Linked DNA regions of Caenorhabditis elegans. The protein of the gene in region 1 interacts with the protein of each later gene in a pairwise test. Each region holds a gene or a part of one and is shown in the gene's direction. Other genes may lie near its edges.

Region 1 (3,752 bases):
TTACAATTGTTCAAGGTAAAATATGAATTTGTTGTTTTATTCAACGTAGACCTAATATTAAGCCAGTTACCATAAGCACTCAAAAAATAAACAAGGCGCGCTACGACACTCCGCACCCCTCAACGATTTTCGAATCAAAATTTTTTCTCGTCTCGTTTCTCTAGGGGGTTTCAGAACATTTCAAGTCTTGAAAGCGAGATTGATTTTTTGTTTTTAAACAGAAAATTAGTTGTTTCCATTAATTTTTCAATTTTTCGTTCTGAAAATGGCCGACAAGAAGGTAGGTAGGCAGAGCCCACCAATGGAAGTCGACGATATTGTTTTTCTCGTTGTTTTATCGATTATCTTCTATTCTTTTGTTTTCAGGACTACGCAGCTATCGCCGAAATCGAAAAGCAAATTGCCGATAATGCGGCAAATTTCGAAAAGTGGAAAAATGCTAACGCGTCAGTCGAATATATATTTTATTCACATAATTTCTCAATATTTTCAGGTTGCAAAGAGGATCTGCCGACTATAATGCAGGAGTGACACGATTCACCGACTGGGATCGTGATCTACGAACAAGGCTCGCATCTCATCAAGGAATAAATGTCGAATCAGGCCCGAAAAGCATCGATGCAGTCCTTGGAGAGTTGCTGGATAAAGTAGATGGTGCTGGCTTTGCACAAGCAATTCAAATTGCAAACTCCGCTGATCCTACATTTTGGCCAACATTACAACAGGAATTTCACAATTTTAAAGGTAAATAGTTTGAGTTTCCATTTGAAAATAATTGGCGTCATGTTTCAGCAAATCCACCACAGCCTGTATATCAAATGCCTCGATCTCAATATTACCCAAGTTTTGGTGAGTTGCATAGAATATTTTCTTCATTTTATAATTATTTTATTACAGCCTCGAGTCCATACGGTTATGCAGCTCCACAAGTTACATCAAACGTTCCTGTCTATCGGCCTGTTTTGCCAACAATTATCACACTTCCGAAAGCAGTCTCACCAGTCCGAGACTTCCAAAAGAAAACCGGAGCGCCATTCCGAGATTTCAGCGTGTAAACTGAACTAATCAATTCATCCTCGTTTTCTATTCACTATTTCTATACTTCACTTTTGAACTGTGCCGTCGTTATGTTTCTCAAATTCGAAAATCACAAATAAACATTTTCTAATCACACATCGATCTTCTGCTTATCAACTAGCCAGTGGTACAATGTTAAACTGGTTTTCGATATCTTTGATTCTGCAACATTCAAATGGGCAAACCCACGTGTTATATCGAATTGTGTGTGTTTATCAGAAATGCAACAGAAAAAATACAATTTCTACAGAAAATTGAAAAAATCAAAGTGAAAATTTGTGTATACTTTATTTTTATGATTAATTGCACTGCAAAATATGTCATGCGATTCATAATCTACGTATTTTTCATGTTATTGATATTCCGAAAAATATCCCGAAAAACTCTGATCCAACGAAAAGCGTGCGGTGGCGTTGCGAAAAACGCGCGCGCGCGTTGCAGACCAGCGCCCGTCCGACCACGCCCACTTCTCGAATTGTTGCATTAAAATTCCTTGATATTTTTGAATGAGGAGTTATTTAGAACATATTTCAATTGTTTTGCGCAAAAAATATTAATACGCTATTTTTCAGGGTAACCGAAAATGCTCGGGCGACGTGCAGTATCAGTTCATCGGTTTCTTTCCAGAGCCGCGAGACAAGTGAGCATTTCTCATTTATTTTTTAGTTAAAAAAAATACGTATTCCGTTTTCCAGAGCGTAACTGCTGCCTCTTCTGCACAGCCAAGCCTCCAAGGTAGGAAGTTTACACGTTTTATATTAAAATAATCGAATTTCTTCCAGCTAAGACCAGTTTGTTGGAACCACTCGTTCAAAATGTGAGAATTACATCTTCAGCCAACTTCCACATGAGTGCAGTAAGAAGTGAGTTTTAAATGAAAAATACTTTTCAAAAATCTCATATTCAAATCACAGTGAGCGATGTTATTACCGTCGAAGGACCAGCTTTTGCTGAATCAATTTCGGAAGGAGATATTAGATGGCTAAAGCAGAAGGGAGATCATGTTAACGAAGACGAACTTGTCGCTGAGATTGAGACGGATAAAACTTCGGTTGAAGTACCAGCTCCACAAGCCGGAACAATTGTCGAGTTTCTCGTGGAAGATGGAGCTAAAGTGACAGCCAAGCAAAAGCTTTATAAACTTCAGCCAGGAGCAGGCGGAGGCTCGTCTGTGAGTTAATTTTTGTACAGCTTAGTGACTGAATTATAATATTTGTTTTTTTTTCAGTCAGCGCCAGCTAAAGAAGAACCAAAATCAGCGCCAGCCAAAGAAGAATCAAAACCAGCTCCAGCCAAGGAAGATTCGAAGCCAGCTGTGACTGCCGCTGCCCCACCAAAGCCAGTTTCTGGGGATATTCCAAAATCTGCTCCACCAGTTGCTCGCCCACCATCAACACCATCATCTTCCACTCCAGTCGGAGCCGTCCCAGTCACTCGTGTCGTTGTTCCAAAGGGAGTTGATCCATCCCACGCAATCACCGGAGCCCGTGATGAAGTCCGCGTTAAAGCCAACAGAATGCGCATGCGCATTGCTCAAAGACTGAAGGATGCTCAGAATACTTATGCTATGCTTACTACCTTCAATGAGATTGATATGAGGTTTTTTGTTGTTTTCTGGGTTTTTAAAAAAAGTTTTCGTGTTTTTGCAGCAGCCTCATCGAAATGAGAAAGACTTATCAGAAGGATTTTGTTGCCAAGCACGGAGTTAAGCTCGGAATGATGTCTCCATTTGTCCGCGCTGCCGCCTACGCTCTTCAAGAATCTCCAGTTGTTAACGCCGTTCTCGATGAAAACGAAATTGTCTACCGTCACTTTGTCGATATCTCCGTTGCTGTTGCTACACCGAAAGGACTCGTTGTTCCAGTCTTGAGAAATGTCGAGAGCATGAATTATGCTCAAATCGAATTGGAACTTGCCAATCTCGGAGTGAAGGCTCGTGACGGAAAGCTGGCTGTTGAAGATATGGAGGGAGGAACCTTCACGATTTCTAACGGTGGAGTCTTCGGATCCATGTTCGGAACCCCAATCATCAATCCACCACAAAGTGCAATTTTGGGAATGCACGGAGTGTTTGATCGTGTTGTTCCAGTCAACGGAAAGGCAAGTTTTCATTTTTATTCCAATTACTGATAGAAATTATCAAATTCGAATTTCAAAATGTTTAAATTTAACTAAAATGATTATAATACTGAAAATATATAGAAACAAAAACGTATGATTCATAAAAATTTGTTCAATTTTCAGCCAGAGATCCGACCAATCATGCAAATCGCTTTGACCTACGACCACAGATTGATCGATGGAAGAGAGGCAGTCACCTTCCTCAAGAAGATCAAGACCGCCGTCGAGGATCCACGAATCATGTTCATGAATCTTTAAATCTTAAATCTTTATCGCCCCTTTTTTTCTAAATTCTTTTTTCTATGCCTCCTTGGTCATGCTTTCACAAAATTTTTAATTTTTCGTTTGAACGTTTAGTAATCAACCGTAAATCATAGGTACGATGTATCGTCTAGCTTGTCATTCACCCCTTATGTTCGACTGTCCCTTATTATCCGAGTTTTCTTGTTCAAAAGCTAGTATTGATTATTAAAAAAATAAAAACCAAATATTTCACTTCTTCATCAGTCTTTAATCACACAAATTTGGCAATCATTACTTTTGATTTCGATATT
Region 2 (3,752 bases), on another chromosome or scaffold:
ACATTGACGAGAATTTAACCAAAATTGAAAAATCAAAAAGAATTTGGATTTTCCATAATTCCGGTTTTTTTTTGTTTCTCTATCGTGATTTTTCTGAATTTGGGTCTGAGGGTGTCGATTTTTCAATTTTTCACTGAAATCTAATGATTCAGATTTTTCAAAAAAATATCTTAACATTTTTTGGACGAATACATATGTTATCTTAGTGTTTTTCTTTTTATCAATTCAAACAAACTTCGTTAAAAATTGTATTTTAATGTTAATTAACTAAAAAAAATTAGATTTTCAATATTCCAGAAAAGTCGAAACATTCTCCGATGACACCATTTTTTGAGATGTTCTTGAAATTTTTAAAACCAAATTTCCAATCATTTTACTTCATCTTCAAATTAAAGAATCAAACTGATATTTTTGTAGGTTCTGTGATGCTTCATAAGTAGAACATATTTCTAATACAAAAGTAGTTTGTATATGTGTGTATATACGCGTATCCGCGCAGCCTGTGTTCATCAGTTTCTTTTTCTCCTACTCCTCCTACTCCTCCACCGAAATGCGTCATATTCTCTGGTTTTTTCTCTCTTTTTCCCTCCATCTCTCTATCTCTCTCTCTCTCTGTCTTTGGCCGATTGGTGCTGCTGGGCGCCCCTCGAAAGCGAGCCGCCCGTGAGAGTGTTATGAAACATTGACGAGACGCCGAGAGGCATGAGAGAAGGGGTAAACCCCCGGGCGAACTGTGTGAAGTTCTGTGCTTAATCACCCTCCTGTGGATCGTTCGATGATGAGATGATCTTGAACACGGGCGGTGTGTATGTCCACTCTTTTTCTCTCCTCTCTTCGTTTTTTTTGAATACTCTCAATTTGTTGTGTCTGCTCCTCAATTTCCTTATGCAGCTTCTTCTTTTTTGACAGCTTTATTTTGCACAACGGAAAGTTATCCTCTTGTTTTTTTTTGTTTATAGGTTTTCGCCCAATAAAAGCAAAACAAAAACCAGTTCTTCGGAAATACTTTCGATTTAAGTGGTGATGAAAAAAAGAACATTTTGTGATGTTAAATGATGACTAACAGATCAAAATTGTTGTTTTATGGCCCCAAAAAAGCTGAATTTCAGAACGAAACTTTTATGGAGGTTAAAAAATTCTTGAATATAGCTTGGTTTTTTTTAAATCTAAAACCTCCAATTTCGCCACCTTTTCCGTTTCGCAGAATTCAGAAAGTGATTTTAATTTGATTATTGTCCTATTTTCTGCATATTTGGATTGTTTTTCTCACGGGTTTTCGATAATTTAGTTGCATTTGAATCTAATTTGGACACAGAAAAAATGACGAAGTTGTGGGTTTTTAGCTAACAAAACATTTTTAAGCAAAAACCGTCATTTATTTTTTGAGCGATTTTTTAAAGTCTCGTTATGAAATTCAGTTTTTTGAGTTCATTGTATTTAGTCCTCACTAAAAAATTCAGAACGAAATGCACTAAAATCATATTTAAATAAATATTAAAAAATTAAATGAATTAAAAAATTTTTAAAAAAATTCGTCCGTCCAAATCAAATTTCTCTCATTTTTTCCCAAACTTTTCATTTTCATTCCTGAGACGTCTATCAAACAGAAGGTAATTATTTAAGTGATAGTGAAAGCTCCGTATGCAAAATTTCCATCTTTTTCCACATTTTTCGGTGTGATAAGACAGAATTGTGATTAGTGGTCTCTGTTCAAAATAATGCAAAAAATGACTAACAGATATTTTTTTCTTGCAAAATTTAAGATCTTAGCTAAACATAGCTTGAAATTTTCGAAATTTTGAACTGCCATTAACAAAATTCGTTCATTTGAGCACATTTTGGGTTTATAAATTCAAAATATCCGAAACCGTTAATCATCATCGTTAAAACATATTTACCCTCCAATTCAACGCCGTCAAAAAAAAATGTTGATGTCATTTTCCGCGTGACTTTCCTTTTTCTAAACACTATTTTTTGATCATTGATTTAAAAAAAAGAAAACAGTTTTATTATTTTCTTGTTTCTTCAGTAACCCGGGAAACTTGGCCCCCCAACCATGCATCGGGCGAGTCTTATATGTCGTCTTGCGTCCCCCAGTCGCATCAATGCCATCAGAAATGCTTCATCCGGAAAGAGCCACATTTCTGCTTCGACACTTGTTCAGGTAGTGACAAAAAATTCGAAAAAATTGGTTAAATTAATTTGAGAAGAGTATTTCAAAACAATTTTTCCCGGTTTGTGCTCCAAAAATAAGGTATCTAAAGTCTCGACAGGAAAGTTTTCTTTAATTAAATGCGAAAAGTCCGACTTGCGTTAAATGTGAAATATTCATCGATTTTTCAAAATATTTTTTCGGTGAAATATAAAAAATCGATTGAAATCCCTCATTTTTAAATTACAGTACTCTTTAAAGGCGCACACATTTTCGCATTTAACAGAAATTTGTCGTGGTGAGACCCTAGGTACCGTATTTTGAGTAAAAATTTCACGCCTGGATATCATATTAATTCCAAAATTTTCCAGCACCGCAATCAGTCAGTGGCCGCCGCCGTCAAGCATGAACCATTCCTAAATGGATCCTCATCCATCTACATTGAGCAAATGTACGAAGCTTGGCTTCAGGATCCATCATCAGTACACACTTCATGGGATGCGTACTTCCGCAATGTCGAGGCCGGAGCCGGACCAGGACAAGCTTTTCAGGCTCCACCAGCAACTGCCTACGCTGGAGCTCTTGGAGTTTCACCAGCAGCTGCTCAAGTCACGACCTCGTTCGTTTTTTTTGTTCTGATTGTGATGATGATAAACATCTAAACGAGAATTGAAGTCAACAACCTTGGAATTTTTCTTTGAAAAAACTGTTTTTCAAAGGGAAAATTTCAGAATATTCACTACAGTAATCTCAAAGGCTCCCGTGAACAGTTTTTATCAAAACAACTTTTTTTTGAAATTTTGAATCATCATGAAAGTTTTTTGGAGATTTTTAATAAAGTCTCATTAGAAAATTGGTAGTTTTAAGCAAAAAAATTTGCCCAGTGCGCCTTTAAGATTACTGTAGCGAGAAAAAATTGCAAATTCGATACATTCAATAAATGCCGAAACTAGTGTGAAAAGCTTCGTTTTTTGCGTTCTTTAAAAATTTTATTAGAAAAAATATAAAATTCACCGTAAATTTTCTAATTTTAATCTCGAAAACTGTTCCAGATCTGCCCCGGCCACTCGCCTCGATACGAATGCATCTGTTCAATCGATCTCGGATCACTTGAAAATCCAGCTCCTCATCCGCAGTTATCAGACTCGTGGTCACAATATCGCAGATCTCGATCCACTCGGAATAAACAGTGCCGATTTGGATGACACGATTCCACCGGAGCTTGAACTCTCGTTCTACGGACTTGGAGAACGTGATTTGGACCGAGAATTCCTTCTTCCGCCCACCACTTTTATCAGCGAAAAGAAGAGCTTGACGTTGAGAGAAATTCTTCAGAGACTTAAGGTGCGATCAAGGAATTGTGCAAAATGAGCCTATATTTTTCATTAAAATTTAGTGGATTTATCTGAAAATAACGTTTATTTCTGTTGGAAGAGGCCCCACGAAAAGGGGAGCAGAACGAAAAGGGGATCTGCAAAAAGGGGATCTGCGAAAAGGGGAGATACGAAAAGGGGAGATACGAAAAGGGGAGCAACGAAAAGGGGAGCTGGCACTGTGCCAAACGCACAAAACGCAATTTTTCTCACGCAACGCACGTTGA

The links. The genes of interacting proteins can lie anywhere in the genome.
Region 2: the proteins of dlst-1 (region 1) and ogdh-1 interact in a two-hybrid assay, tested with the Caenorhabditis elegans proteins (one large-scale study listed by BioGRID).

The regions. Positions count from the first base shown.
Region 1 is NC_003283.11:6,706,999-6,710,750, reverse strand, and holds dlst-1 (Dihydrolipoyllysine-residue succinyltransferase component of 2-oxoglutarate dehydrogenase complex, mitochondrial), read left to right. Parts: upstream 1-1,649; 5' UTR 1,650-1,660; coding exon 1,661-1,717; intron 1,718-1,772; coding exon 1,773-1,812; intron 1,813-1,859; coding exon 1,860-1,940; intron 1,941-1,991; coding exon 1,992-2,248; intron 2,249-2,305; coding exon 2,306-2,676; intron 2,677-2,726; coding exon 2,727-3,177; intron 3,178-3,321; coding exon 3,322-3,456; 3' UTR 3,457-3,695; downstream 3,696-3,752. Other genes in the region: sna-1 (Small Nuclear RNA (snRNA) Associated protein), read left to right, coding at 266-280, 367-446, 494-744, 793-849, 898-1,055.
Region 2 is NC_003282.8:4,702,289-4,706,040, reverse strand, and holds the start of ogdh-1 (2-oxoglutarate dehydrogenase, mitochondrial), read left to right. Parts: upstream 1-2,047; 5' UTR 2,048-2,056; coding exon 2,057-2,164; intron 2,165-2,523; coding exon 2,524-2,771; intron 2,772-3,204; coding exon 3,205-3,496; intron 3,497-3,752. UniProt on the Caenorhabditis elegans protein: The 2-oxoglutarate dehydrogenase complex catalyzes the overall conversion of 2-oxoglutarate to succinyl-CoA and CO(2).